6 linked regions of the Nothobranchius furzeri genome follow. The protein of the gene in region 1 interacts with the protein of each later gene in a pairwise test. Links are inferred from orthologs where the notes say so. Each region holds a gene or a part of one and is shown on either strand. Other genes may lie near its edges.

Region 1 (4,725 bases):
CATATGATAATTCTGTTATAATAATAATAATAATGATAATAATGATGATGATGATAATCATTATTATTGTCCTCATCATCCCTGCAGTGCGGTGGTGAGGCAGAGTCTGATTGACTTGATGGACAGAGCTCTCAGTGAACCAGAGGTGAAGTCTGTGGTCATCTGTGGGCAGAATGGAAAATTCTGTGGAGGTATGAACATTAATAAGGCGATGCACCTATAAATATATTATTATTTAGAATATCTGATGATTTCTGAAAACATCAATGTGTTTTATTTTTGTATGACAGGCGCAGACATCAAGGAGTTCAGATCAGACATGACTGGGCCGCCCCTGGTACCAATGATTGATCGATTGGAGTTGTCATCCAAACCAGTGGTTGCAGCCATAGAGGGTGTCGCCCTAGGTGGAGGCCTCGAGTTAGCACTTGGCTGTCACTACCGTGTCGCACACTCTAAGGTTAGTTTACGCTGCAGAGATTCGGTCTGATGATTAGTTTGTGTCTAACATGACAGATTGTTTAAAGGGGACATATTACGTAAAACCCATGTTTTTTTGTGCTGCTATGTGGGTCTCTACTGCCTCTTTAAAAACTAAATTTAAACAAAAACACATCAATCCATTTTCTGTCAGTGTTTGGTTTTTGCAATTATGTGTCTAAAACAAGCCGTTTCAAAGCGTCTTCATTTGTGATGTCACAAATGGGGAAATTAGCATAGAACTACCTATCACATACAAGAGGGAGCTGCTGCTGGAGGAGCAGAGCTTCTCAGCTTATAGTAGCCATAGTGGGGGATGGGTGGGCGTGGCCAGCTTGTTTTCTTAAGCCCTTTTAACAAGGCACACTGTGCCGGCAAATAAGCGTAATATTAACGCAAGGGTGTGTCTATTAACGCGCATGCTGGTATAAGGATGTGCGATATCTGCGGCATTCATTCCGCCTCACTTGGTAGCCATATTGCAGTAATAGTCATATAAACGGCCATTGCACCTTGGCGCAACAGAGGGAGGTGTCATGATTACGTGGGGAGTTACTGCTGAGTTCCGGCCGGCAACTATAATGACAATGAAAGTAAAAACCTGCAAGTTTTGCATTTGTAAAGGGAATCAGCTGAGATAATAATCTGGAGCAATGCAGAGCTCCTGGAGCTTTTCTTCATTAGAGCTGGAGGTTAGATCACCGGAGACTGCACGGGGACTGTGGGGGACACACACCTTTAGGAGCAGCTTGTTAAAAAGACTCCAATGAGACACCTAACCCACCTTGCTTGCTAGTGGTGGTCGGAGGGGCCGGTGGCGCCAGTGTGTGACAGGCCTCGTCTCTGTCAGTGCGCCCCGGGCCAACTTTAGCTACATCGTAGCTCATCCCCACCAGCATGTGAATGTGTGTGTGAATGTCTGATTGTGTTGTGAAGCACCTTGGGGGGTTGTAAAATCCTAAGATGGGGCTATTCAAATACAGGCCATTTACCGTTACGGTCTAACCACTTGTAAAGTCTTAAAGCTCCCTGATGCCGATATGGCGTGGCAGCAAATTGGCAGCATTCTTTTGTAAAAGAGGCTACAAAGTGACAGAGCCATGAAACGGCTCATTCAGGAAGGCACTAAAAATGTCAAGAATACATCAGTAGAACTCGTTTTATGCGTGGAGAGTTTTTTATTCGACCATAGAATTGTTCCATCTTTAGATTAAAAAGTCTAATGTCTCCTTTAAGTCGTATGACAAAATTAGTCTTTGGAATTAATCACACATGAGTTTGGTGTTTTGCCTTTTTAGACCCGGTTAGGACTTCCAGAGGTGACTCTGGGTCTGCTGCCCGGTGCGGGGGGAACCCAGCGTCTGCCGAGGCTCGTTGGAATCCCAGCAGCCTTGGAGCTCATCACCACAGGTAAAAAAAAGAGAGGAACCTCGTGTTGCATATTTAGTTCTTACAATTGACTGGTAGTTAGGAGTAATACATTCTGGTCCAATCTTCTTAGAGACAATTAAATGTTTAGCAGAAGATCTTTTTCTTCTGGGTGGATCATCTGAATCATTGGTCCGCATAACTGTTACAGTTTTTCTCAATTGTTTACACACATTTTCTGAAAGCATGCCCCATATTTTCAGAACTCTACACACAAATCCAGAAAATACACACACACTTAACCTGCAAAAGTAAACTTCACATTCAAAACAATGTAATTTCTCCTCAAAATGTGATTATGTTGTCAAATGACACGCACAAACCATCATATAAATAGACATTTATAAGAACCAGCAGAACACTCGTGCTCAATGTTAAACACTATGATGAATGGAAAACACTTCTTCTCCATTCATCATAATGACTAAAGCCTTTTTGGTTCAGTGTTACACCTACAGACAGTAAAAACATGCATGTGTTGTTATTTCAGAATATTGTTGTTACACTCTGAACACACAAATACATGGTAGAAATGATTTTATTTTTCCCACAAAACATTGTACACAATGTTTATCCCATTCCCAACCAACACAAAGTTGCACACATAAACTACATCCAACAGAAATTTACTGTATACAGTTACAGTAAAACACTAAAGCTATGCTGCATCCTCTCTTCTGTTGCGGTCTGGCCACAGCGCCTCATCCACATCACAAGCAATGTTGTCCCTGGCCAAGCAGCGGGGGAAGTATCTCCTAGCATGGCGATTCCAGCCATGAAAAGAATCAGCTGCTATATCTCCACATGCGTCCTCCATAGCTTGGGGAAGAGGTATACGGGTTTGTGGCTGTCGGTCATACACCTTCCATCTCCATGCAGAAAACAATTCCTCAATGGGATTGAGGAATGGAGAATATGGAGGGAGGTAAACAACTAAAAAGCGTGGGTGGCCAGTGAACTAGTTACAGTATGAACCACAGCAGCCCGGTGGAAACTTACGTTGTCCCGAATGACAACGTACCTGGGCTGTTCTGGACCATCTACCTGGTCTGGTGGAATGAGGGTGTTGTGTAGGGTGTCCAGGAATGTGATCAGATGGGCGGAGTTGTAGGGGCCAAGGGTAGCATGGTGATGGATGATGCCATGGTAGCCAAGCGCTGCACACATTGTGATGTTCCCTCCGCGCTGGCCAGGGACTTCAACAATGGCACGCTGGCCAATGATATTCCTTCCCCTCTTTCGTCTTTCTGTGAGACTGAATCCAACCTCATCAATGAAGATGAACTGGTGCTCCCCTGCAGCTGCCTCTTGCTCAAGGACTCTCTGAAACACACATGACAATATCAGAAATAAACGTGGAGTGGTCACTAGTGTGAAGCACAGTCATTATGATTACTATATTGAAACATGTATAATTTACTGTACACAGTGTTGAGTGTATGCATCAATTGCGGGACTCACTTGTTGCACATAGTTATATCGCAATTCTTTCACTCTTTCTGAGTTTCCTTCAAATTGCACCCTGTTGACCTGTGGCTCGGATCTCAGAGATTACGGTCCTTGGTCTTCCTCTTCCTCACCCTCATCCTCCCCGTCCTCCTCTTAATCTCACTCCTCTGGCTCTGCCTCTGTTTCCAAAGTTGGCATCCATTGCTCCAACACAGAAGAGCTCACCTGTTGCCCTTTTATGCTAAAGTTCTGTTTGCTGATTGTAAAACTGTGTGACAGGTGTTTGCCCTTGTGATGAGTCAGTGTGCTCATTTGAATAGCAGTGTGTTCCTTGTGAGAACAAGCTAGTTCCTGTATGGAAATTGTGCCAACAGCAGAGAATTGTGTGTAGTGTTTTGAGAAAAGTGTGTTTTAAATTTGAAATTTGAGTGCAAAGCAGGAATTGTGCTTGTAGTTTCGCAAAATTGGTTAGGGGGGTTGGTTACTTGGTTACATGTTGTGGTAATTGTGTCTCAAGTACCAGAAAATGTGTGTAAACAATTGAGAAAAACTGTAATCCTTCTGGTGAAACATTCACGCAAGGCCGTCGTTGTAAGTGCTCCATAGACGCCTCTGTCGCCGGTTTCTGCTCGACGGTCCTTTTAAACTATTCTCCAAAGCAAAGGAGCCAAGGCAAAGAATAATCAGCTGAAATGTTCTCTGACTGCACCTGAAGGTTGTTTTTGCCACAAAAGGAGCTTCCAATTAAGTTAACTCAAGGACTTCAAATTATTTTTTCCTCCTTTGAAGGTCTATATTTTATTTTAAGGTGTTAAAGGTTCAATGATTTGCTTGTTGTTAGTTTATTTGTGGCTTTAGTTGTTATTTAACTGATTGGACCAGATGTTATAAGGAACTACTGCAGAAATGTAGCAGCTGTTCCACAGACAACCAGCAGGTGGCAGCATTTGTTTAGTTTTAGGTCTTTTAATTGGGATTTACTGCTTAGTTCTAAAGATGATGATTATTTATTATCGGAATTGATCTTAATACACCCTTTTAAATAATCATTACTTCTGGACCTTTAGATCATATTCTGTTTGATACTTACTAGTCTTAAAGTAACTTTTGTTGAATTAGAAGATCTGAATGACTCATATTTATTTTCTGTCCTACAGGTCGTCATGTGACCGCTGCCGAGGCTCTTCAGCTGGGACTAGTTGACTTTGTGACTGATCATAACACCATTGAAGCAGCTGTGAAGTTGGCCTTGAGCGTTGCAGGTAAGATCCAAAAGTGGAATGATGGAAACTCTCTTCCCAAGTTCAAATTTTTACTCGGTGGAAGGAAGAGAAAACTCCTCTCAGTGGTTATTTTAGGCTAGTCTGA
Region 2 (5,469 bases), on another chromosome or scaffold:
GATAGAGCACTATGATTGGCCCACCATTATGGACCAATCACAGCTCTTAATATGTTTGAAACTCCTCTAGAGAGCTGTGATTGGCTAGCCAGAGTCCTGGTAGGAGCTGCTGAGGTTCCAATGGAGCATGCCTAGACCATTCTTTGCAATGCAAGAATTTGGTCTAGTTCACTAGGCTATGAACAGGTGAGTATTCAGCTGCTTTTTAAAGGAGACCACTGAGTCTACTGGTCTCAGTTCCAGAGTCTGGGGGCCACAGCAGCAGATGATCTGTCACCTTTGACCTTTAGCCTGGTGCTGCACAACCTGTAGGGTTTGGTCACTGGACCTCAGGGACCTGCTTGGGGTGTAGGGACTAAGAAGATCACCAATGTAAGATGGTGCTTGTCCATGTAAGGCCCTATAGACCAGAACCAGGATCTTGAAATGAACCCTGAAGTTAAGCGGCAGGCAGGCTACCATAGTTTGTACCTTCCTGTTACCCTGGCTAGCCATCCTATATATGTGGATATGTCGGTTGACCATGACCCATAGACAGAGCTCAGTCGTGGGGTGAAAGCTATTGTTGCCTTTCAAACTGCCTCTGCATTCTACTGGACAACAAACAAAGTGACTCTCACTGCTACGGATGTCAGTCAACAAGGTAGTCCACCATACTCTGTCGAAGAAGACACACATATGTCTTTTTTCTAAATGAAGGACTTAAGTACCTCTGTCTGTTCTTGACTCAAAGAAGAAGCCATCTAAATAGTCCAAAGTTGAGGCCAAAACCATTTCAAATGATCTGCCTCTGTCTTAGCTTTTCTGCTCTATCGCAATAACATCCCACCCACCAAACTGATAGAGCGCTGTGATTGGTCAGGCCTGCTAAGGCTCCAGTACAGTGTGGCTAGACCAACCTGCAGAGCAAAATAATTTTGCTTCTGCTACTGTCTGTCTAGATTTCTATGCCTCCTTCCTGCTGCATCAAACATTTGTTTTTCTTATTCATTTATCTGTAACTAGTTAACTGATGCTTAAAAACACAACGACTGTGTTCAGGAGAGATGGCCAGAATTTCAGCCCCACATCACCAGTGTACACAGTCTGGATCCAAAAGTATGGCATGGTGTCACCTGCTCCTGGGGAATCCTGGATTCAATTTTTAATCATGATGATCTATCTTTATTTACATTTATACTTCTGCTTTACCATTTATGTTTGTATTTTTCTGCCGTATCCTCATCCGTGGTACTATTATCTTTTTCAGCGTTCATAAAACTTGACTAAATCCAGCAGCTGATTTTTCCAGACCAGGAAACTAGAAAAGAAATGACGCATCAGATCCAAAACATTAGTTATTGTTGTTGGTGTGTGTGTGTGTGTGTGTGTGTGTGTGTGTGTGTGTGTGTGTGTGTGTGTGTGTGTGTGTGTGTGTGTGTGTGTGTGTGTGTGTTGTACCTACAGGTATTTAGAAATCATTTTATACAAACAAGGCTTAATTCATTTCAATGGAACTTTCACAATACAATAAAGAAATGTAAGTTTTGTGGCCAGCAGGATTTTCTGTGTGTCTGTTTGTCCTCAGCGACCAAAGTCTGGACATCAGAGACCTAGAAAAATTAATTATCTGCATTTACTCATTAATTTATTGAACTATTCACGTTTTTTATCACCAAAGGAAATACAGTGGGCTTTGTTTTTGTTTTGTGGAGCTCGCACTTCACGTTTCATCCACCAGATGGCGGAAGTGAGTCAACCCCGCTGTTTAGCTCCAACGAAGAAGAGCTCTCAGGGGGTGGGAAGCCCGCCGTTGCCTGATGAATTAAAACGTTTCGCTGAACGGAGACACATTTCCCTCTTTTAACCTTTTTCTCTCAAGATTTATTGAGTTCGCTTCAGTCGACCACTTTTACCAGGATGACTCAGCAAGGCGCCGCTCTCCAGGCCTACAACAACGAACTTGTCAAGTGTAAGTGACTCGTTTGAAGGATTAAATACTTTATTTCTTGATTTAAACTCATAAAATGTTCGGAAAATAGATAAAGTTGCTTCAGCTCTAGAATTTAATTACATTTTAACCAAACGCCACATTTAAATGTATGTAAAAAGTATCTAAATTTAACACTATGTGTGTAATTTAGTGTTTTAATCTGGTTTGTTGTTTTTTACATGTCTGCTTTAATCTGGACCACCATCAGATTAACCCACATGAAAGCTGAGCTTTATTAAAGCCATATGATTAAAAAATACTGCTTATAGCTGCGTTTCTTTAATATCCTCATTTAACCCTAAAACAACTAAAAATAGCAGCATAGCGGAACTAATGTGCTTTAAACGTTCCTACCCGGTGGTTAATCCGTGCGGCCTTCCTGCGGCAGTTTTTTAAACTTTCTGACTGGTTTACACAGTTTTCTTGTTCTGGGGAGCCATCAGAAATGTTAGATTGATGTTTTAGTTGAATAAAGTAAAGCTAAGCTCGTGTTTTTGGATCAGAGCCACTTCAGGTGTAATAAAGCTTTCATTTTCCTGTCAGGTATCGAGGAGCTGTGCTCAAAGCAAGAGGAACTAAACCGACAGATCCGTCAAGAGGAAGATGAGAAGGAACGTCTGGAGCACGACATCCGTGTTCTGTCTGAGAAACTGAGCCGGGTCAACGAGAGCCTGGCACGAAGACTCTCAGCGCGTACGACACTGGACCGCACCATCGCTGAGACAGAAGCTGCCTACGCCAAGGTGTGTCCTGGTTCCGTCTACATCAGGGCTCTCCGGCTCTGCTCCCATAGGACTCTGATCCAAGATGTTTCAGTTGTTTTCGTGCTCCACCACACCTGATTCCATGGTTTACTCACCTGTTCGGCAGCTCATGAGGCCCTACAGAAGCCTCCTGATTAAAACCTGATGTGTTGAAGCAGAGAAACAAATCAAATCGGCTGTACGGTGGCCCTGGAGGACCACGGCTGGACATTATTAACCTGAACCTGATGAGGTTTTGTAAAAGTTTTTGTTAAAAATGAGAGGAGCGTAGCTTTGATTTACCAGAATAATTCCAAATCCCAACAAGTCAACGAGCTTAATAGTGTAGAAGGGAGATAAATTCAACTGTTTCGTCACGATTACCAGGATAAAACGTGTTGTCATGGCAACGTGGGGTTAAAACAAGGCTAGCCCCATCGAGCGATGATTCCACGTGACTTAGAGGAACATTTCAGACATTTGTTTCGTTGTCTTACTGTAGATGGCCTTCTGCCAGGCTGCTGTTCGGAGGGATAGACGAGCTAACGGCTAGTCTGAGACAAATTCACAGGGTGCAAGCTGTCTTAAAGCAGTCACGTCAGTTCCCGTGGTGTTCTGTTTTACCCTTTAAGTGCCAAATTCCTCTGATAATATTCCAGGAAATTTATCCTCTCGTGCAGGAGTGGGCAACTCCCTTCCCAGATGGCTGGTACCCAGCCTGTTTTTGTTGTTTCCCTGCTCCGACACACTCGAGTCACCTGCTCAGCAACTCATCAGGCTCTGCAGAAGCCTCTTAATCACCTACTGAATAAAGTCTGGTGTGTTGAAGCAGGGAGCTGATTAAAACATGCTGGATACCGGCCCTCGGAAAAAGGAGTTTGTCCCCTCGCTCTTGTTTAAGGTTTTATAAAATAATGCCACATGAACCGCTCTGGAAGTTTAGAGCAGGTCTAAGAAGAAAGAGTTTTTATGTGGATAAAATCACAAGAAAATCAGGAAAATGACTCAAAAAGGTAAGTGAAGTAAACGCGAGAGTCCGAAAGATGCAGATTTAGTAGAAACACCAGCCTGAACATCGTCTAGATCCTTGGGTCTGGTGTTTAATCCCGTAACCGTGTTTTAGCGTCTGTCAGATAAATCAGGCGGATCAGACCAGATTAGGCCACCGCTGAAGGTTCGTCGTGTTTCTGTGTTGTTGCTGAACTCCGCCTTAAACGAGTGAAAACACACTCCTGCTCTGCTCTAATTATAAAACAACAAGGACACCCGCAGCCCTTCTCTCCTCCTCATCTCAGCGTGAACGTGTTTTACTGTTGATTTTTTATCCTTTTTACAGATTTTAGAAAGTTCCCAATCACTTCTGAGCGTTCTGAAGCAGGAAGCAGGAAACCTCAGCAAGGTCACGGAGCCTCAGAGGAGGGATCATTAACGGCGAGGCGACGTCGGCAACCACAGAAAGACGTTTTTGCACATTTAAGGACTCTTTTGTACCGCTTCTAATGTTTTTTTCTTTCTCCAACATAATAAATGTATTTAACTCTCGTTTGGTGACAGAATAATAAATAAGTCGCTGACTCGTTTGTTCAGGTTGTCGGTTTATTCAGCTTTTCTTTGTACAAGTATGACATCATCTTTTTAATTTGCCCCAGTTACTGACAGTTTACAGGTAAGCACATCAGCTGATGGAGATCTACAGACATGGGGGAGGGGGGGGGGGGGGGGAACGATGGATGAGGTGGAGTTTCTACCACAGAGTCCAACATAAACACAGAAGGTCCAGGTTCTGGTTCTGCTGAAGTTCTTGCTGGTGTCAGAAAAAACAATCAGTGGATTTTTGTGATTGGGGGGGGGGGGGTTTACATGACCACGAGCGAGTCACCACAGCAGGTCCAGATAACACCACAGCTACTAAAACCTTCACATCGCTGCTGATAAATCAGACACTTCAAGTAACGATTGATTTTCATTCTGATCATCGATAAGGCCGAACGTTTCATCGCGCTGGCAGCAAACGCTCCGCCTTTTTATGACCGAGGCACTGAAGTCCAGATGTTTGAGTCGAACTGGAGCTCAGAGATACTTCCTGCTGGGTCTTCATGTCAGAAATGTGTCTGCTTGACTTTTAAAGGCAGAACGATCATAAAAGCAGATAAAGACTCAGCATTATTAATCAAAACCACCTTAATTCATTACGTTTGGCTGCTGGAAGGAAAATATGAAGAAACGAGGGATGATTAAAAACTGCTTGATCCGTAAATAAAAGCAAGTGATGCAAAACTAATGAAAAGAAAAGATTTCCTATTTCTGGAAAAGTGTCGAATAAAAATGTTTTTCTCTCTTCTAAAACAAAAAGAAAAGTTCTATATAAATAAATGACTTATGTGTAATTTCTTGTAACTTTTTTTACTGAAATTTAACAGAAACATTAAAAAGTGATTAAGTGATCAAACATTTCCCCTAGATTTACAGAGAACACCCATAGCTATGTGGGCTGAACGGTTAACGTCTCACCTGCTGTACATAACACTCTGAATGGCCTCAGCTGGGAGAAACAGATTCGTTCTGATGGCATGGACGAGCACCGACACGGCCAAGTCTCTTAAATAAACAGTTTATTCTAAAAATGTTCACAGCAGTTTAGACAGTTGCTGTTGTGCTACAGAAATTCTGCCAGATTAAGGATGATCCCGCCAGAAGTGCTGCACTAGCTAGCTCGTGGGCTAATTTCACCTGCAAATAAAAGCAATAAAAACC
Region 3 (5,413 bases), on another chromosome or scaffold:
CTTAGCTCATCCCCAGCAGTGTGTGAATGTGTGTGTGAATGGGTGAATGACTGATTGTGTTGTAAAGTGCCTTGGGGGGTTCCAGGACTCTAGAAGGCGCTATATCAAATACAGGCCATTTATGTTGAGTGTCACAGCTATTGGTCACAAGTGGTGTTAATAATAATAATAAATTGCTTAAAGCAATTTACTTAACCAAACATACCATTTATTAACATTACAGGTGTGTAATCTGGATTTTATAAATGTAATTTTTACAAATATAATCTTGGTAACCGCACACGGTGACCCCAGGTTGGGAACCACGGCTGTTTCCAAAAAGCTTCTTCATAAACTCGATGTCATTTATCACTCAGCAATCCATTTGGTCACTGGTGCCCCTTTCACTACTCATCACTGTGATCTGTAGACACTCGTTAACTGGCCATCGCTCCATTCCTGCAGGCTGTTACATCGGCATCAGTTCATATGCAAAACAATCATCAGTAGAAACCGTGATATCTTCGCTCATTACCAGGGGTGGACTGGCCTATCTGGCATTCTGGTACTGTCCCGGTGGGCCGCTTAGCCAAGTGGGCTGCTTGCCCAGCTTGGGCTGACACTACACAGTTGGTGATCTGTAGAACATACATGGTAACCCGAAGCTAACAGAGTTTTTCCAGGCATTTTTAGAAAAAAAAAACCCAGTAGAGCGATGACGTAGGAGTTGTTTTACAGCGTTAGCATGTAGCTAATGTCCCGCTGATCTCCGCCTGTGGAGAATGAGCTGATCCGGAAGGCCAGGGCTCCCGGTCGCGGCGGACTGGCCCTGCTTGTAATTTAACAGTCCCAGTCCATATTAGAGCTCACATTCGGCTTAGAGACGAGTCCGCAGGCAGCCACACCCCTAACCCCCACCGCTCTCCCAATGGGGAGGGCCGGCAATTCGTAAGAATGCCAGGGCCGAATTTTGGTCCCAGTCCACCCCTGCTCATTACTCCACTTCCAACAACCAGCGCAATTTACGTTCCAGTAGCTTCATCTCTAAAGTTATTCCCAAAGCTCGCACCTCCTCTGGCCGCTCCTCATTCCAGTTTGCTGCTTCCAACGACTGGAATGCGCTGCAAAAAAATCACTGAAGTTCACACGATCCATTATCTACCTTCAATAATTCATGGGGATCAATAGTTTCTGATCAATGTGCTTCTGAGTACTTAAAGACAGTTTTAAATCTGTTTCGACTGATTTTACACATTATATATGAGAACAATCCTAACTGTTTTATCAGAATTTTATCTCACCTGTTTTGTCTGTGGTGTAAAGCTAACTGCTGCTGCTTCCTCTTGGCCAGATCGTCGTTGTAAAGGAGAATGAGTTTTCAATCCACTCATCCATTTAAATAAAGGTTAAAATTTAAAAAATGTAGGTGATTAATGTGGTTTAATTCATTTGTTCAGTAGCAAGAAAACTCCTCTTGCCACTGCACGCTCAGTTCCACATGGGGGCAATCATGTCAAGTGACTGGGTTTTAGTTTCCTGCTGTCATGGGGCCGCTGAGATATATAGATCTATTTGTCTTTTTACTCACTTCACAGCCTTTCAGTTATTTTGTCAACTTCCCAGCATGTCTTAATTTGTCCAAACCAGCTGCTTGGTGCTGTTGGACATGTGGCGGACTGAAGAAAAGTCTCTCCAGCAGCCGGAAAGGGCTGGGCTGGGGAGCCTCTCATTACTAAAGGTTAGATCTGTCACATCACACATGCACATAAAGCTCTAATGAGCAGCTGGAGTGACAGTTCAGGGGACTCCTTTTGCTAAAGCCCTCTGATCCTCCCTTTGGGATGCAGCACTTCCTGCGGTCTAAAGGAAGAGCATCTTTGTTCAGATTACACACTAAACCTTAAAGGGGGAAGAAACAGCTTTTGTGTTGCTTTTTCCCAGAGGAGCGATGCACGTCCAAAGGCTTCATCCTTAGATGCACCAAACAGAAGTGTTTAAGTCATAATTCAGATGCTACTGGGTACAGGATGGATGCGGGTGCTTCTGGGGTGGATGCTGTGATGTAAGAGGAGGTGGGGGTGGGAGCGCCTCTCTCTCCCCCATAGAGCGCAGCATGAGCGCTCCGCAGCAAAAGGATGTGTGAGCAGGCAGCGCGCTACTGTAGGGACGGAGTCCACAAACTGCTGAACAAAGAACAAGCCAAACTTCGAGCCCAGGAGAGCCGAGAGCAGCCGAACCCCGTAGCCGGTCAGGACAGCGAGTCCGCGACGGCAGCGCAGTCCGGAAACAGCGGCGCCCAGCCCGGTGGAATCGACGGGCTCGTCCGCTGGATCGTCACCAAAATGAGCGACAACAAGAACGTCTCCAGCCGGGAGTACGCCTCCAGCAAGGAGGAGGTGGCCGTGGCCCAGGAGCAGTTCTTCGCCCCCGAGCCGCGGAGAGGCATCTCGGTGATTCTGGATGTGAGTATGAGGCACCGGGAGGCGGCCAGCCCCGCCAGGAGCGGGTGGGTGCATGGAGACATCCAGGGAGCGGTGCGCACTTACGCACAGACAGTTTAGGTGTCCGGGATCAAACCGGCGTCCCTCTCCTCTGCATCTGCACCATATCAGAAAATTCAAACTTTGCACGTTTTAACTGTCAGTCCACATAAATCCTGAGGCTCTCCAACTGCGCTGCAGACATGTTCCTGTGTTAACCTTCAGAGTGATAACTGCGTGCCTGTAGCATTTCTGGTGTTCAGGTCAGCCCAGTTTTATTTTACTGTGCTTTAAAACGAGTTGATCTCAGTAGAAAAAAAGAAAAGAAACGTAGAAACACGTTGTGTAGACCTCCCCCCCCCCCCCCCAACTTGTTATAAATTAAGATTTTTCAAACGTTTTTTTTTCTTTTTTCCTCTCTATCATACCATACCACTTTATTTGTAGAACGCTCTTAACACGGCACTACAACCGACCAAAGCGCTGGACATAAAGACAAATAAATAAAAAACAAGCTAAAATAGTCGTGCATATCATAAGAAGTAAAAAGGATAAGAGTTAAAGAACAACAAACTAAAGCCAATAAAACAAGTAAAACCAGAATATAAAAACACAAATTTTAACTACCTGGCAGCTAAAACTGTTTCCAGCTGAGTCTCTGACACCAGCCTTTGAACTTTTTCTGACATTTTCTTCTTTCTGCATAACTTTGACCTTTCAAACGTGAATTTTCTGGCCCCTTTCCAGCATATCTGACCCCAATATTCTTACTTTACACCAAATGGGCTTCCTGGTGTGTCCCTGAATGCAGCATTTCCCTCATTAGACCGACTTGTTCTCCTTCTCTGAGTCTACCGTGAACCCATTTATTATTCCGTCTCCTCTCTTCCAACAGAAGCATATTCCTAAGGTGAAGGCATGCCTCCTCTTTGTGTCTTTCTCTTTAGTCGTGTTTTTTTTGTCTCTTTCTGTTGTAACTCTTCACCATCACCTCCTCCTCCTCCTCAGTGAGACTCTTTCCCTCCTTCCCAAGCTTCCCTGACTCCAGCAGCTCCAGCTCTGTTCTGAGAAGCTGAACATGGCCCAGGGTGCAGATGCAGAGCAGCTTTTCAATTGGAGTGCGGCTCTTTCAGCTCCTGTTGCCCTTTATTTAAGAGTTTAGTCACAAAAATGTCTTGATGAGTTTCTGTGCAATAATTTAGCTGACTAAACTAAAAAAAAAAGTTTTTGGGTCGTCACGATCTGTTTGCCCATTAACTTCTGACTTTGGTCACTACTGTTAACATTCATCTTATTCAGAAGATCATGTCTTTGAAAAGCACATTTTTTTTTAGATTTCCTGTAATCTGACTAATCCAACCAGACCAAATTCAAAATATGTGACTAAAGATCACATCCTCTCGTTTTATTCTACAAATATCTTCTTTAATATTGTTTTAAAATGCATCTCATGATCACTCAGCACGTCTTGTCCTGCCGGTGGCTCGTGTGTCACTCATCCTCAACCTCCATGATGAAAGTATTCTAAAACGTTGAAGGTCCTCGGAGGGGGGAGCTTTCCCTAAAATGATTCAGATTCACTCCCAGCTTGTTCAGCTGCAGCTGTGGTTGGTTCGGTTTGGTGTGGTAAGCTAACTCCGGTCCAGCTGTGTGGGATTCAGTCTGATCCGTTACCAGTTATTCACCAGCTGGTTTCTGTTTTCCCAGCATGACTCTTCTGTCAGCTGGAAGGAGGTTTATGACACAAACATTCACTATTTTATAGGTTTCCCTCCTTAAACTCCTGAAAACGGGAATCTATGGGTTCCATAGAGGTTTTTATTTTTAATTTTCTGCTTAAATTATTTCTTGGAGGCAAGAATAATAAGTAGTTTCCACTGGTGAGAAACAACATTATTTTAGTGACCCAAACAAGAAAGAAGAAACCCCAAAAGTAAGCCCTGAGGGACACCTTGAAAAACAATTACACTAAAGCTAATTTAAATTATTAATAAATGTTTAAAGAAATTACAGATTTGTGAAATAATCCAGTGTTTAGGTGTTAACATTTATTAGATGAGGCTGTTTTCAGACACACAATGCTTCAATTTAACTCTTTAGGCTTGAAATATGAAAAACTAACGATTGAAAATACTGAGTTTAAAACTAAATAAAACAATAAGATATGGTGTTACTTTAAGAAATACAACAAGATTAAGAAATAGTGCTTGATGTGTCTCAGGTTAGGACTTCATACCTGGTGGGTTACTGGTTCAAACTGGTTTGATCAAGTACTTTTGTGAATAAAAATTCATATTTCTGTACTAAGTTGTTGCAGAAAATCTATAGGAACTCACACAAACTGGATAATCAGATGCTGAGAGGTTTTTGGAACGTTGTTGAAAGGTTCGCTCCGTTCTTTAGTCCGGAAACATTCTTGTTTAGCAGATGATACGCTACTGTACTTACAAAAGAGAACTCTCAAAATAATTGGTTTTATTAACCATCTTGGTTTATTTGCACATTTTATTTAGTATTTAGAACCTAAATGTAAATGTGAAATAAACATTTCCCAAACATAAGTTGTGTTTAGAGAAATGCTTTCTGTTTGTCACTAAAATGTCCTTCTTTCTGTCGTTCACAGATCTTCAGAAGAGCCGACAAAGATGGTGAGTGATGTTCTGGACTGCTGGCTTCCTGTAGCCTGGCCAGCCATGCCAACGTTTCCTTATGTAGAACAGACGGGCCAGGCTAGGTTTCCCAAGACATGAAATCTAAACACATCTGAGTGCTTCTTCATCTGATCCTTTAAAACTCAGATGGAAATAAAAATGTTGTTCCATTAGTCACAGATCCAATCACATTTTCCATTTTAACTCATTCGCTGCCAGCGTTTTTCACCGTTTTTACTGTTTTTTAAGAGTCACAGGACGTTGCGCGCTAGGATGATGTCGACGCCAAAACAACCAAAACAA
Region 4 (4,543 bases), on another chromosome or scaffold:
GCATTTATGTCCAAGCATGTCAGTATTTCTGTTCTGAAATAAGCAAATAGTCGTTTTTATGCATTAGCTTTGTATTTCTGGTGGTCGACACAATTATTAATATTACTATTTTAAATCTGTAGCACTGGATTATAAAATGTACTTTTCCTAGCTGATCTGAGCAGAAAAAAACAGTGAGAGTTTGGTGTTTTAAATTATGACAGCGGGAGGGAGACGAGAAGCATTTGAGATGCTGGATTTGGATGTCCTGTTTTTACAAAAAATACTTTATTGATCAAATTTTTTTTGGTTTGTGTGTGTCTGTACAGGATATTGTTCCAGTTACCTACCACTTAATTCCTGCTCCTAATAAATCAAAGAACGGGGGTAAGGAGAAGGACAAGGATGGAGACAAAGAGAAGGAAGTGAAGGATGAGTTTGCTGAGGCCATGAGAGATTTAAAGATTCAGTGGATGACAAAGTGAGCACTGTTTTTGTCAGGTTTAATTTGGAGACCGACCGATGTCAATTTTTAAAGAATTTTGTGGCCGATGGCCAATATCTAAAGCCAGTTATTAAGTCTGATATATAAAGCAGCACATTGATTGTGGAAAACAACTGAACACTCACTCTGTGCAATGTAAATGAAATAAGTAAATAAATCTCTTAATATTTATTATACTTCAAATGTAAAGCAAACGCAAAACATTAACAAACATTATTAACCCTGTTTCAGAACGACAGAAAATAAAACGGATTCAAGTTTTTTTCTTGTGTTTAAAATAAAGAGAATCAAACGGTACCCAGAATAATGGTGCAAAATAGTGGCTGGCCCGGGTAGAATATTCAAGTAAAAAAACCACAAAGTAAAGCACACTACCACACTGTAGTAAAAAAATAAATCTCAACTATACATAAAAATAGTGCAAACATTAGACACCAAACTTAGAGATATTTCACTCAGAAGCTGCGTCTGTTGTTAGAGTTCCCAGAGCTAGATAAGTGAGAAAGGATTTCTAGCATAGAGCTTTCCTTTTTACTTACATTGTTTTATGCTAAGCTAAAGCAAAACTTACTGCTTCCAGATCAGGAGAATGACTGAGCTTGCTAGCTACAAAATCCTTTTTCTTGCGTATCTAACTCTGGGAAATCTAATATACACAATTTTACTTAAGCTGGGCGGACACTGTGCGACTTTTTCACTCGTAGCACTCAGCTTCAGCTCAAACTGTACGACTTCCTCGCAGGGCAGATCTCAGGAGTCGTGTGCTCACACTGCACGACCCAGTTCTTGGATGCGACCTGACAGCTCACACTGTACGTCTGGTAGCAACACGTCGGACCTAAAAATATGCTAAAAATAGCAGTTTTTACACATCATACTTTTTTGTCTTGTTTTGCCTGTTGTCCTTCGGGAGTGCTGCAGGGACACACACACAGGGATTTTTGGGGGTTGGATGAGGAAAACGAAATAAAGAAAGTAAATCTGTGTTTTGTGATCAGTCTAATTTAACATGAACACGACAAACATGCTTTCTTGACAATCTTTGTGAGTAAAAAACGTGTAGAAATAAAAATGAACAACGTGTGTTATTAGGGAAATAGCGGGCGAGCGGTGTTGATGCATTATTGCACATGCGCCGTGAGCAGTTCTGGTACTTTTTGGGTCGCAGCTGCTCGCAGCGCCGCTTCAACAGTGCGATACCCTCACGAGGGACGAGCAAAATATCAAACACACCAGAAGTCCGTGCGAGCTCACGACTGCTGTTCGGTAGCTGGTCATGTGGTGTTAATCGCCTCTCGTAACCCCCTGTACACTACACGACGCTCGGTGCAAAACTCGCCCCGATCTTGTGGATTCTCGCACGAGTGGAAAATCGGCTCAAAAAAGTGAAAAAGTCGCACAGTGTACGCCCGGCTTTAGGGGTGGAATATTCCCTTTGGTGTAAACAATGAAAAAGGCACCTGATTTAAATAAAAAAAGAATTTTTATCAGCTTTCAAAAATAATTTTGGCCGATATAGGAAAAAATTGAATACATCGGTCGGCCTCTAGTTTTAATTCTCCACCCTTTCAGGTTGGAAACCAGCGCCATCTATGATGAACTGATTGAAAACTACTCAGATTACCTTCCACTGCACGTGCAAAGGCTGCATCAGCTGGACTTAGAAAAGGTACGTAACCTAACCCTACCCGACAAAGAAGAGCACATTCTCAGAAATGCTTTTATTTGTGTAAAATCTAAACCGTTCAACCATCTTTGCTGACAGTTGTCTCTTTTTTTGTGTTAAGGAACGAGGGAAGCGTCTGGCGGAGGTGGTGTCTGCAGCAGACATTGTAATCTCCCACATCGACCAAACCGCCTTGGCTGTTTACCTCAGCATGAAAACAGATCCTCGACCCGAGGCCGCTTCTATCAAGACGTATGTTAAAGACGTGTTTAATGTTTCTGGGATTCGGCACCATTATTGCAAACCTCAAGTATCTAACGCTGATTCTTACATATCTCATGTAGCAATCAGTTTATGGGTCAAGAAATAATGTAGGATTAACTGCCAGCAGAAGTGTGAACAAGCCTCTGTGTTTCAGGGACATGGAGAAGCAGAAGTCATCTCTGTTGGACGCACTGTGTAGGAAAGGCTGCGCCCTGGCAGATCAGCTCCTGGTGCCCTCTGCAACGCAGGACGGCGCTGGTGCTGGTCAGGCAGCATCAGGTGAGGCTGCAGAGCAGCAGGTGGCCAGCAGCTCTGAAGACACCCTTCTAAACGTGACGAAGGCCTTGACTGATACGTTTTGGGAGGTGCAGAAGTGGGCAGAGCTAACGGACTCCAAGGTGATGAAAGTACTTTAGACATCAAAACAATGACTTACTCTTTTGGGAATGTGTTTCATAAATGTATTAAAGTAGACAGATGCTGCGTAATTATTCAGATTTTCTTTTCTTTCTTTTTTTAAATAAAAGTTTTAAAAACAAAAATGCTTTTGCTGTGAGATGTTTGTGATTCATTCAGTTTTATTATATGTTGACAAACTTCGTTCATGTTTTTTCATCGTTTAGGTTTTGATGTTTTCATACAAACACGCCCTGGTGAACAAGATGTACGGCCGAGCTTTAAAATACGCCTCTAAAATGGTCGAGGAGAAGCCGAGCAGAGAGAACATGAAGAACTGCATCCAGGTACCAGAGCCGTCACCGTCAGCTTATCGGCTCTTTTCTAGATGCTTCTGGTAAAATAACTTTACGCTTTGTTTTTCAGCTCATGCGTCATCTCGGATGGACACATTGTGCCACCTTCAGTGAGAACTGGCTTCCCATCATGTACCCTGCTGACTTTACACCATTTTAGGCACAAACACCCACCCGCATGAGCACGGCAGCCATAAACGTCCCAATAATTCTGACATCACAACCTCCAGGTCACATGTTCAGTGCATCTGACCAACCAGCTGCCTCCCGAGATGTTGTCTGGTTTTTTTAAAGGCAGACGTTAATAAACCCCAAACTAAAAAGTAAACAATTTGAGGCTTTCAAAGCTTTTTTGAGATGTTATGAAGTCAATTGAACCAGAACGTAACCTTTAAAAAATTCCACCAACTTACATTTATCTACAAATCTTCCTCGGCTTTCAGGACAATTTGTCATTTCGACCTTTTTTTTGTGTAAATAGTGTAAAAACTGATAGTGTGGACGTCAGGGCTGCATCAGAAGTCTTTCCACACAGCCTGTGACCCTGAGCCTGGCTGTGTTAATGCTTTAGTAAGAAGAGAGAAGGACTTGATCTACAAGACCAAACAGACTCTTTCTGATATTTAAAAAAAAAGGCTTGGACAGATACTTTTTGTTTTTTTCAGCCAAGTTTAGGGTGTATGTTTAGCCTTCAAACACAAAAACAGTCTCAAGGTGCCTTTCTTTGTGTACCTTTTCTGATTAAATGAAAATGAGAGGGAAGCTGCACAGATCTTAGCCTCCGTCCACACGTGGGTCATCTTCATCCGCATCTAAGAGTCGAACATACAAGCTGTAACACTCCGCAGCATGATTTTATCATTATTTTTTCTGGTTGCTACAGTAAAACCACACTCTACCCGACCTCAGTAACATAATGCAGCGGTGGGCCACCACAGGACATTCGGAGCAGATCACATGTTTTAATGTTCACACAGTGATATAAAGAACTTACCAGTGTAGCATTCAGCGTGCTGCATGTGTACACAGTGTCATAAGAATAATGTAAACACACACACAACACACAATATTAAGATGCAATAGTTGTATACTACAGATGTAATCTTAATCGATGTATTTTGCATATACGCATGTCTAGTAGAGGTGTAAGAAAGGCTAGCTTTATGTGAAAATGAGAGTTTTTTGTTTGGATTTAACAGATGTGATTCAGGGTGTGTGTTTGGGAATGATTTTATGTGCACCTGTCAGCATATCTTGGACATTTCTCCCTAAAAAACCTAAACAGGAGCCATTTAGAGGGGTATTTTATCATTTTAAAGGGACCACACCAGTGGTTTTACCCATATTAGTTTGCTTTACTGCTAAGACCCATATCAC
Region 5 (4,725 bases), about 27 Mb from region 1:
GTTGGAAAGGTCATTTCTAACATTTCCACTCCCTGAGCATCTTTAATCTGCTCTAATTACAAAACCTAGACCCTTCAAATCTGGACCAGATTATTCTGCAGTAATAGCAGAATACTTAGACGGTTGTTGTTTTATTTATTTATATTTTTAACCTTTAATATGTGAACGATCAAATATTTGAGCACTTTTTGCATCTAGACCAGGGGGTGCCCAATCCTGGTCCAGTAGGTTTTGTGGTTTTTCTGCTCAAACACACTGGTTGAGTCACCTGTGCAGCATCTCATCAGGCTCTGCAGAAGCCTGTTAATCACCTGCTGATTGAAATCAGGTGTGCTGAAGGAGAGTTAAAACTAAAACGAGCTGGATACCGGCGCTCGAGGACCAGGATTGGGCACTCCTGGTCTAGACCACATTAGAACTGGTCCAGCTCCAAAACCACAACACCTAGATGACTAGATGTTTTAGATTTAGCCAAATGAATGATAGAAAAAAATAATTCCATTGAGGTTCCATTATTGATAGTTAATTATATATATACTGTTTGTGATAAACTCAGGTGTTTTTGTTTACGCCCCTCTCCTTTGGACGTGTCCAAACTAGGGTTGCAACGATTATAAATGTTGGTGATTTGATTATAGTCAGAGAAATAGTCAGTTTCACGATTATTTTACATGAACTGATTTCACATCTGTAAATAAAGCACACACATTCTATAAATAACAGATAAAAGGCACGATTAGATTCTTTAAAGGTTTTGAATCCCTGAAATATTGTTTTCGGAGATTTTGCTTAGGAAAATTCACTCTACCACTGACTGCTTGCTCTGCAACATTGATGTTTTATCTCCACAAATAACACAAGCCTGGAGGAGTTCTGCTGTGTGGTGGAGTAGCTAATGCTAATGGTTAGCTTCTACTAGCAGAGACGTTCTCTGCGGTTTTCCTGGACGCTAAACCAACAACAGGCTTCCCCGTCGTGACTCAAGATGGGTCAGTCCATGAATGTTAGTGACAGTGTGACGTAGATCTGTCAGGCTTTTCTAATCCTAGAGTTTCACAGTCTGTTTTCTATCAGAAGCTAATGCAGGAGATAGGTGTAGGAGACTATTTTCATGTTCAGCCTGCATGAAAAACTCTATCAGAAATAATCAGTAAAATTTACTTCAGTGAACCACACCTTTAATTATATTTGCCTAATAGCCTTTTTGAGTTTCTGTAAAAAGACAAAAAAGTTTAACTGTTGACAGCTGGTCAGGTTTAGCACTGAAGGATGGAGACACCTTCATGAGTTAAGATGCTAAAGTCCTACTAGTGCAGTTGTTATTATGAATATTGCTTATTAATTATTGTAATCTCTACTTGTTCATATCTTCTAGTGTCATCAGTAAGAATATTATTTGGACAGGATAAATTATGTTATTATGTTGCACAGGAAGTACAGAGGTGTTGATTAAATATTAAAATGGCTTGTCATAGGGCTTGCTGTAGACAGATACAGGGGAAACGTAGAACAACACAATATGAACCGTCGTTCACAGTCATTGTTCTAATATTACGGTATATCCGTTCAGTCGCTTACATAATCGGACTCAGTTGGAGCTCATTTCAGGGCTGCCAATTCTCACGTATTGAGCATGAGACGCACGCCTCTTCACACGCTCTCACGCCACACCTCCAATATCTCACGCTGATTAATTTGCTGTGTTGGAGACGTCTTTATGGTGGGTTAACCGCACCGTTTCACACCGTGGTTAATAGTCGAACCGGTTAATCATTGCAACCCTAGTGTCTGTCTGTCCTCTCTGACTTTATCTCTACAACCTCTAACAAGAGCTGTCCTTCAGATGGACTCAGTCCTGATCCTATCCTTGTCACTCCCAAAGAGAACCTCCAGTTCTGTGTCCTGTCCTGTCCTCATGGACACTGTCTCTAAACCAGACATCACTGCTCTCACTACGGTCTTCTACACCTGAAATCCTTTTCTCCACCCAATGCTTCACACACTTTTTCCCCTCTATTCCACTCTGTCCGTTGCTTGTTTGGACCATGGACCCTAATTACTTATTGCAGAACGATGGAAGCATTCTTTGGGGGAAACGAACATCTCTTATCCTCCTTCACCAGATCTACCACCACCATTCCATCATTCGACTAATCCTCCATATCCTCAGACTTGTAGCAGACTGGGTGGGGTAGAGTCTGTAGTACAACATCTTAAAGGGACGTGAACGTCACACACCTTCACACTTTTCATTTTTTAAAGAACACTGAATATACTGGCATGGGCACGATAACCTTGGTCATAGTCATACATTTCTGTTTGGTTACATTTTGGGTTTATCGCCACTAACAGCATTCATCATTATTCCTAGACTCATCAGCCTTCTTCTTCTTTAGGATGACTCCTACTCAGCTTCTCACTTTCCCCGGCCACCATAAAAGAATTAGTTGACTGCCCACCTCATATTTGGAGGGCTGCAAGTTTGAGCCTCACTCAGTCTTTCTCAGTTGTTGTGTCCTTGGTTATGACACTTCATCAGCCTTGCCTGCTGTTGGTGGTCGGTGGCGCCTGTGCTCATCAGCCTCACGTCTTTCAGTGCACCTCAGGGCAGCTGTGGCTACATTGTAGCTCATCACCACCGGGATGTGAATGTGTGTGTTAATAAATAAGTGACTGGTTGTGTTAAGTGCCTTTAGGGGTTGTAGGACCCTTGAAGGAGCTTTACAAACACAGGCAATTTATCGTAGGTGTCGAGCCTTGCTACCATCTGAACACGGTATGTGTCGCAGATGGTTAGTGCTGATATAAAAGTGTTTGTTTTCATTTTGTCTTTACACAGGGTCGGCTCTTCTCCTATCCTGACACACATCGACACCGGCTGGGAGCAAATTACCTGCAGCTCCCAGTCAACTGTCCATACAGGGCTCGTGTAGCCAACTACCAACGGGATGGCCCAATGTGCATCACTGACAACCAAGGTCAGTCATGGTTTTCTCTCGTTTCTAGGGTTCAGATGGACACCAGGGGCCTCATTTATCAAGCTTGCTTGCGCACAAAACGGGGTCTGAAAACTGCGTAAGCAACTTTCCACGCAAACTTTGGGATTTATGAAAGAAAACGTAGCAGAAAAATGTGCAACTTTAAGCTGACTAAGGACCTGGCTTACACACATGTTGGACATGGAGAGCACCTGCAGTGCTGCTGCTGAGAAGGATACAATTATGAAATCATGCAGCATTATCACTTGTACTCTTCGTTTTCACACAGAACAAGACCACACACACACACACACACACACACACACACACGCAGGCGCACGCAAACACACACACAGCCTGAAGCGCAGAATACGGACAGGGGGACGGATTGAGACAGAATGTCATGCGTCTGTGACAGTGTGTGTCCTGTCACTGTGACCCGATTGATCACCCTGGCTACTTGTACAGGGGAGATCTGTTTGGCTGACTGGTTAGCGCGCGTGACTGTCACCCGGGAGTCTGGGGATCCGCCACAGATCTCTTTGAAGAACTCAGCATTAACGGCTTCAGCAACGCTGTGCCACTTCATGGATTTTCTCTTATTTGTTTTGCAAAAGCACTTCCTTTCATTTCTCCACCTCATCCACAAGTACCTCAATTTCTGCTTCTGTGAAATGGCGCTTCCTTGATCTGCCTTGATCTACGGTTGCCATTGGTGGAGCGCTGCAACAGCCGGCTTATGTATATGCATGAGATCCACAAGGCACTTTGCATTGATTATTTATGGCAGTAAGTGGGCGTGGTGAGGGAGGGATGTGACTAAAATGCAGCTGAGAAACGGTCTAGATAGTTTCTGATTTATGAAGCGGAGATTGCGTGCAGCTGTGTGTACTCCATGTTTGATAGATCACAAACCTACTTGGTGTAAGTACTTTTTTTTTTTTTTTTTGCGCTGAGCTTAAGTACGGGTTTAGTAAGGATTGATAAATGAGACCCCTGGTGTTTTTTTGTTTGCTTGTTTCAGAACGTTTTTGTTAGTCTTAAGGCCTAGTCCACACGTAGCCGTTTAAAAAAAGAAAATGAATATCCGCCCCTCCAAAAACTTGCATCCACACCACCTCGTTTAAAAAAAAAACTGTCCACACGTACCCGGATAAATACGTTGTTAAGGACATGCCAGACCTGTAGGTGGCAGTACTTCCCCCGTTCTTAACCTCGTCCTTCGTCTGTGGTCTTCCGCAAGGAGCAGTAATTCCGCTTGCAAAAACAAACAAGCAAAAAGCGCTTGGACAATTGATGGATCGGGTAGTGACAGAGCGCAGCTCTGAAGGCTTCCATGCTGTCGGCTAGTGTAAACACAGGTCGCACACGTGATGTCAGCATTTTTTTGTCGCGGAAAGTGACGTTGCAGACCTTAAAACTCCGGTTTTGTCCGTCCACACGCAGACACCCAAAACGGAGAAAACGCAGATCTTCACTTTGGTCGGAGTTTTTAAAAAGATCCGTTTTCGTGTGGATGACAGGCCAAAACGTAGAAAAGTATCTACGTTTTGGCAGATCCCCGGCTACATGTGGACAGGGCCTAATTCAGATGTGACGTGTCCTCTTGTGAGCATTTGAAGGGTCTTGGTCAAAATTCACCCATGCAGTCCCGTAGAGGTCAGCTGGACCTGGTAAATGTACCAGATGTAAACCAGGAGTCTTCAACCCTCACAAGCTACCAGTAGCTTGCAACGCACTTAAAGGT
Region 6 (5,210 bases), on another chromosome or scaffold:
GTTTAATTTAACTGGGATGACCAAACGCACCATAGCTGAAATGACCTCATGACACAGTATTAGAAATCACACAACAGATACATAAAATATACTTACACAAGACACATGCAACAACTCTAAGGGGCTTCTCAATTAGTACCATACAGGGAGCTAAGAGGAGATCTAGGACACTAAATTTTCTCATCAGAAATCTACAGGATCAAAGATAAGTTATACTAATCATGTAAAAACATTCCTGTAGGTTTGAATTTCATATTAAGATGTGAGAGCATATATGCAGGCATTAATTTTCAAAAAGGGGGTATTTAACAATCCCACTGTTTTCTTTTAAATGACTTCCTATAAACAACAGTCATATTTTTGGGGGGGTAAGTGGTAAGTCATCAGAATAAATGAAATTATGATTTTACAGCATTACTGTCTCAAATCTCATCCATTTGCCCCAAAATTTCCAATATCACAAACAACTGTGTTAAGTTTGGAAAATAAATCAAGAATTAGCTTTTTTTTTTGCTGTCTTGATTTTGAGCTTTGTTTTATAATTATTTGTGTAGTGAAATGGTAACTCCAGCAGATATCAGTCTTCAACTTTGTGAGCTGGTCTACAAAAAGTCCAGTGATGCTCAACTGTGTTTTCGTTTGCACGCTCACTCATGTGATGCACACGCGTGTTCCGGATAGTGAAGCCCTGTTTCATGATGTAGTCCATGAGATGAACCCTTAAAGACACCTCTTGATGATAGTCACACGGTCCAAAGGTAAACGATACCTGACAGTCCCTGGTGTCCATCATGTGTTTGTTCCACTTGGTGAAATTGTTTGAAATTCCTTCAAGCAGCGCGTGAACTTTGGTCGTAATAGTTAGCTGTGTGATGATCACCGCAACTGGGTTTGAGTATTTAGACAGTTTCCGAGTGCTAGAGAGCTCCACGACTTCCTCAAAGATGTCGGGAGGGTACAGCGGTTTGGGATCATTAAGGCACTGGATCAAAGGTTCGATCTGGTAGAAGTCTGCCTCCTTCCTCAGCAGGTCTGTCTCTGTGAAATCCACAGGAAGGGTAAGCTCCGATGTTCGCAGGAAGTTAAGGATGTACCGGAAAAGTGTCCCGTCTCGATCAATGAAATAATTCCCTTGGGAATCACGAGTTGTGGGAAAATCACCCCTGAACATGGCACCAAGCATAGAGTCTGGATAACGCTGCAAGGTGGACAGACTAGTGGTGTACAGGTGGCCTCCCACATTCAAGGTAACAGGAGTGGTCATCTAAAGGAAAATTGTTGCAAAAGTGAGAAATAATATTAATAATTTGTAGTTCTTCAAGAATAAAAATATATTGTTCAAAACAGATTTACAGGAGAAACTCAGAAGATTTAAATGTGGTGCAAAAGTTATTTTATTTCACTAACTGAACTTAAAAGGTGAAACTAATATACAAGATAGACTCATTATAGGGCTGGGCGATATAGCCTAAAGTCAATATCATGATAAATTGAGGATTTCAACTCGATAACGATAAATGAATAACTACAGGTATGCGGAGAAACAAAAGTTGTCCACTAGATGGGGCTGTGTCACGTGTATTACATTGGGACACATTTTTAGTGACAAGGTGGTACAGCTTCTTAAAGGGACATGAACGTTGCCAACCTACACACATCTTTTCATTTATTTATTATCAAATTTATTGACATGGGAAAAATTATCTCGATATGAGTCAGAAATTTTGATAACGATACATTTTCGATTTGTTGCCCAGCCCTAACTCATTATATGCAAAGCCAGATGTTTCAAGCCTTTATTTGTTATAAATGTGATGATTAGGGCGTACAGCTTATGAAAACCCCAAATTCAAACATTAGAAGATTGTGAAAAGGTTAAGTAAAATCAAAGTGTCACACTCTAATCAGCTATTGGATCCAGAACATCTGCAAAGGGTTCCTGAGTCTTTAGATGGTCTCTCAGTCTTAGTTGGATTACTGAAATAAATATACTTTTGCACAGTATTCCAATCTTCCAAGTTCTCCCAGTATATTAAATTATTGTAATCTAAATAAAAGTACACATGATTTCATTATTTTTTTTATCATTGATGAGTTTTATTTTTTCCTCAACATCTTTTGTTGTTATTAATTTCGCTGTGGACATCCTTTTATGCATTATTGTTCTACAGCACTTTGGGTTGCCATGACTTGAAAAGCACTGAACTAATAACCTTGATTGACTGATTATCAGGAAGAAGAACATTATTAACATTGAGTCTTCATTTCTAACCACAACCATAACATACCTTATGGCCCCAGTCTCCATTATCCATTTGTGGAAGAATACCGACTTGGTCAGAAACAAAACAGAAGGAACAGATGACAATCTGCACACTTTACATTTATCTGTGGAAGAAAACAGCCACATTACTACAGATTAACTTAATTTTGCACACACTTCTCTGTACGTATGTTAGATTTTATGAACAACATTGTAGAGTAGCTGATTGATCAGCTGCAGTAAATCTTACGTAAAATGTTTGGTTGTTAATCAGAGAGAACTTCAACAGTATATCAAACATAAACAACACATGCATATGTCTGAAGAAACGGAAAACCAGATTACTACTCACTGTGGATTTTTATGTGTCCCAAACATATTTATCAGATTATCCCATGTGATACTTATAAATGTAGTCCTCCTAGTCATCTATAATAGACTAGAACAGACTTTATTAATCTCGCCGTGGGGAAATTCACTTGCTACAGCAGCACAAACACTTAGAGAAAAGGAATATGAAAAATGCTGATGCTCTTTACAGGAAATACCCTGAAATAAAATGGTCTGAATGTTAGCGGTTCCTCTGCAGCACTGTTGTGACCAAACAAGGTCAAATATAACAAAAGAGGGAACATCTGCATTTGCACTGCCCTCGTCTTTATCACTATGAAAGAAGTGTTATCTCAAACGTAATTTCAACAACCAGGGTTTGAATTTTATAATCGAGAGGTTCTGTTACTTCTACAGCAACACCTGTACGGGGAAAGAGGAAAAGCCCACCACACCGCTTTAATTTATAGCTTAAACTGACATCCTGATTGCTAATACTTAAACGAAAGGCGACGAAATACACAAGTACATCTCTCAAGCAACAAAGTGTATTTTAAAGTGAATTGTGTTACAGTTTAAATAGTATTTTATGCTGCTTTATCTGAAGCGTTAGTAAAAGTGAGTAATGGTTAGCGTAATGATTGTTAGCCTAGCTAGGCTGCTAGTTAGCAAGCTAACACAACTAGCGATACATAAACAACTGCGGCTATCAACAGGATTTCCTTTAGGCTATCTGCGGATAAGAGCAGAACATGACCGGGTTTCTTTGGTGTTAGCTTTTGTGTTTTGGGTCCAATAAGAGTGGGCTGTGGTCAGCATTTAAAAGTCAGTGAATGTGGGTCGTACCGTAGCAGCTGTGGTCGGCTTCAGGCTGCAGAAACACTGTCCACAAGGAGGATGAAGGACAAGGAGGAAGAGGTCTTGCTGCAGCCTCCTAGCATGCAAAAGCACACATCCACAGAGAGCGGAACGGGCTTACATGGTACAGAGGAGGGGCCCAGCCGACTACAGGCTCCTGCAAAACTATTAAACATGCAAATATTCACAAGAGGCAGTCCTTCAAATGCCCATTCAGGTGAACATCCTGCATTTTGAGACCATTAGACAGTGGCATTAAGTATTGACTAACACTAGAATCAATCTAATATATTTATGTTGAATATTTGCCTACTGTGTTGTCTATTATTCATTAAAAACATGAACACGAAGACACAATAATGGAAGCAAATCCATATATGTGTATTATCCCAATCCACTTTACATAGAAATGTAACTCAAGCAATGTTTGGACACTTCATTCTTTATTTCAGTTTTAATGTGCAATTAGAAGTGGTGTGTGACTGAACACACGCAAGAAACGGCATCAAAACAGGATGTGATTTAAGATTCAAGAACACTTCTTTGTGCCGCTCCCAGAATTTTGCTGCAAGATGATAAACTCCAGGAGAAGTTTGGCTGTGCGACATGGCTTTTCCATCACCACAGAGTGCCCACAGTTATCCAGCAGGTCCACTCTGCATCCAGCCACCCACTCTGCAATAACATTGGCTCCAGAGACGTCCACGACCTAGACACATTTGAAACAATAATTATTTTATCCATCTGACATGAATTACTTCATGTTAGCATCTAAATCCTATGCATTTATTAGAATCTCATAATTTCTGTGAAACACCAAGCAGTTATCTATGTTTTTATGTGGGTCATTGTGTTATTTTTAAATCACTTACCTGATCTTGTTTTCCCCATATTACTTGCAAAGGGGTAGTTATGAGATGCAAGTGTTCCTGCAAGGCATACCTTGATTTTTCACCAATAATCTCCATAAACACTGATGAAAGAATATTTCTGTTAGTTAAATATTATCTTTATTGTGTTGTGGCGTACATTATTCAGAGCACTGTGAACTAACCTTCTTCGTAGAATGAGTTATGAGGTTGTCGAACATCAACCAGCCCTTGAAGAATCTGAATAAAAATTCACAGGTTTAAACTATAAAATGATTAACCTTTTAATTTTTCATTCATATTATTTTCTTTTCACCTTTTTACTAATTCACAGATGAGCAAAGGGCTGCCACGTAAACGGGCAGACATCACATTCACACCTGAAGTGGTCTCTTGCTTTAATATTCTCCTTAATGACAGAACGGAGGAGTGGACCCACACAAACCACACATCAAATCGGCCAGCTCAGTCTAGGGAGAGTCATACTACCTGTCTTGGTCTCCTCATGGACATGGCCTCTAAACAAGACAACATGGCCACTCTCACTACTGTCTTCAACATTTTTCCTTTCATTCTTGCTGAAATCCTTTCAACACACATCTCACCTGACACTTTTCTCCAACCTGCTTCATACACTTCTTCACCTCTTTTTTACACTCTCTGTTGCTATGGACAGTAGGCCCGTGCCCTAAGTACCTAAAGTCCTCTACCTTCTTTACTTCTACTCTCTGTAACATCACCCTTCCACTTGTGTCCCTCTCATTTACACTCATACCATACCATACCATACCATCTTTATTTATAAAGCACATTTAAAAACGGCATGGCAGCCGACCAAAGTGCTGTACAGAATAAAAAGTAAAAACACAATATAAAACAATACACGGTCA

Evidence for each region.
Region 2: the proteins of ehhadh (region 1) and ssna1 interact in binary tests that used the Homo sapiens proteins (3 or more experiments, as listed by UniProt). The two-hybrid records come from large-scale screens. The link is inferred for Nothobranchius furzeri from reciprocal best matches to the Homo sapiens genes EHHADH and SSNA1.
Region 3: the proteins of ehhadh (region 1) and necab2 interact in binary tests that used the Homo sapiens proteins (3 or more experiments, as listed by UniProt). The two-hybrid records come from large-scale screens. The link is inferred for Nothobranchius furzeri from reciprocal best matches to the Homo sapiens genes EHHADH and NECAB2.
Region 4: the proteins of ehhadh (region 1) and tpp2 interact in binary tests that used the Homo sapiens proteins (3 or more experiments, as listed by UniProt). The two-hybrid records come from large-scale screens. The link is inferred for Nothobranchius furzeri from reciprocal best matches to the Homo sapiens genes EHHADH and TPP2.
Region 5: the proteins of ehhadh (region 1) and cat interact in a two-hybrid assay, tested with the Homo sapiens proteins (2 studies listed by BioGRID, with this or other methods). The link is inferred for Nothobranchius furzeri from reciprocal best matches to the Homo sapiens genes EHHADH and CAT.
Region 6: the proteins of ehhadh (region 1) and kctd6b interact in binary tests that used the Homo sapiens proteins (3 or more experiments, as listed by UniProt). The two-hybrid records come from large-scale screens. The link is inferred for Nothobranchius furzeri from reciprocal best matches to the Homo sapiens genes EHHADH and KCTD6.

Annotation. Positions count from the first base shown.
Region 1 is NC_091754.1:18,043,729-18,048,453, reverse strand, and holds part of ehhadh (peroxisomal bifunctional enzyme), read left to right. Parts: intron 1-87; coding exon 88-191; intron 192-290; coding exon 291-460; intron 461-1,778; coding exon 1,779-1,890; intron 1,891-4,514; coding exon 4,515-4,619; intron 4,620-4,725. UniProt on the Homo sapiens protein: Peroxisomal trifunctional enzyme possessing 2-enoyl-CoA hydratase, 3-hydroxyacyl-CoA dehydrogenase, and delta 3, delta 2-enoyl-CoA isomerase activities. Catalyzes two of the four reactions of the long chain fatty acids peroxisomal beta-oxidation pathway.
Region 2 is NC_091746.1:74,033,554-74,039,022, reverse strand, and holds ssna1 (microtubule nucleation factor SSNA1), read left to right. Parts: upstream 1-1,764; 5' UTR 1,765-1,899; coding exon 1,900-1,951; intron 1,952-2,515; coding exon 2,516-2,715; intron 2,716-4,051; coding exon 4,052-4,144; 3' UTR 4,145-4,289; downstream 4,290-5,469. UniProt on the Homo sapiens protein: Microtubule-binding protein which stabilizes dynamic microtubules by slowing growth and shrinkage at both plus and minus ends and serves as a sensor of microtubule damage, protecting microtubules from the microtubule-severing enzyme SPAST.
Region 3 is NC_091744.1:83,491,145-83,496,557, reverse strand, and holds the start of necab2 (N-terminal EF-hand calcium-binding protein 2), read left to right. Parts: upstream 1-1,996; 5' UTR 1,997-2,114; coding exon 2,115-2,441; intron 2,442-5,082; coding exon 5,083-5,107; intron 5,108-5,413. UniProt on the Homo sapiens protein: May act as a signaling scaffold protein that senses intracellular calcium.
Region 4 is NC_091749.1:36,617,443-36,621,985, reverse strand, and holds the end of tpp2 (tripeptidyl-peptidase 2), read left to right. Parts: intron 1-308; coding exon 309-460; intron 461-2,056; coding exon 2,057-2,153; intron 2,154-2,271; coding exon 2,272-2,402; intron 2,403-2,568; coding exon 2,569-2,812; intron 2,813-3,037; coding exon 3,038-3,157; intron 3,158-3,236; coding exon 3,237-3,326; 3' UTR 3,327-3,453; downstream 3,454-4,543. UniProt on the Homo sapiens protein: Cytosolic tripeptidyl-peptidase that releases N-terminal tripeptides from polypeptides and is a component of the proteolytic cascade acting downstream of the 26S proteasome in the ubiquitin-proteasome pathway.
Region 5 is NC_091754.1:44,626,960-44,631,684, forward strand, and holds part of cat (catalase), read left to right. Parts: intron 1-2,839; coding exon 2,840-2,978; intron 2,979-4,725. UniProt on the Homo sapiens protein: Catalyzes the degradation of hydrogen peroxide (H(2)O(2)) generated by peroxisomal oxidases to water and oxygen, thereby protecting cells from the toxic effects of hydrogen peroxide.
Region 6 is NC_091755.1:58,704,107-58,709,316, forward strand, and holds the start of kctd6b (BTB/POZ domain-containing protein KCTD6), read right to left. Parts: upstream 3,569-5,210; 5' UTR 3,440-3,568; intron 2,754-3,439; exon of another isoform or gene 2,616-2,753; intron 2,389-2,615; 5' UTR 2,316-2,388; coding exon 2,289-2,315; intron 1,265-2,288; coding exon 578-1,264; 3' UTR 1-577. Other genes in the region: monoacylglycerol lipase ABHD6b, read right to left, coding at 3,981-4,160, 4,324-4,424, 4,506-4,560. UniProt on the Homo sapiens protein: Probable substrate-specific adapter of a BCR (BTB-CUL3-RBX1) E3 ubiquitin-protein ligase complex mediating the ubiquitination and subsequent proteasomal degradation of target proteins.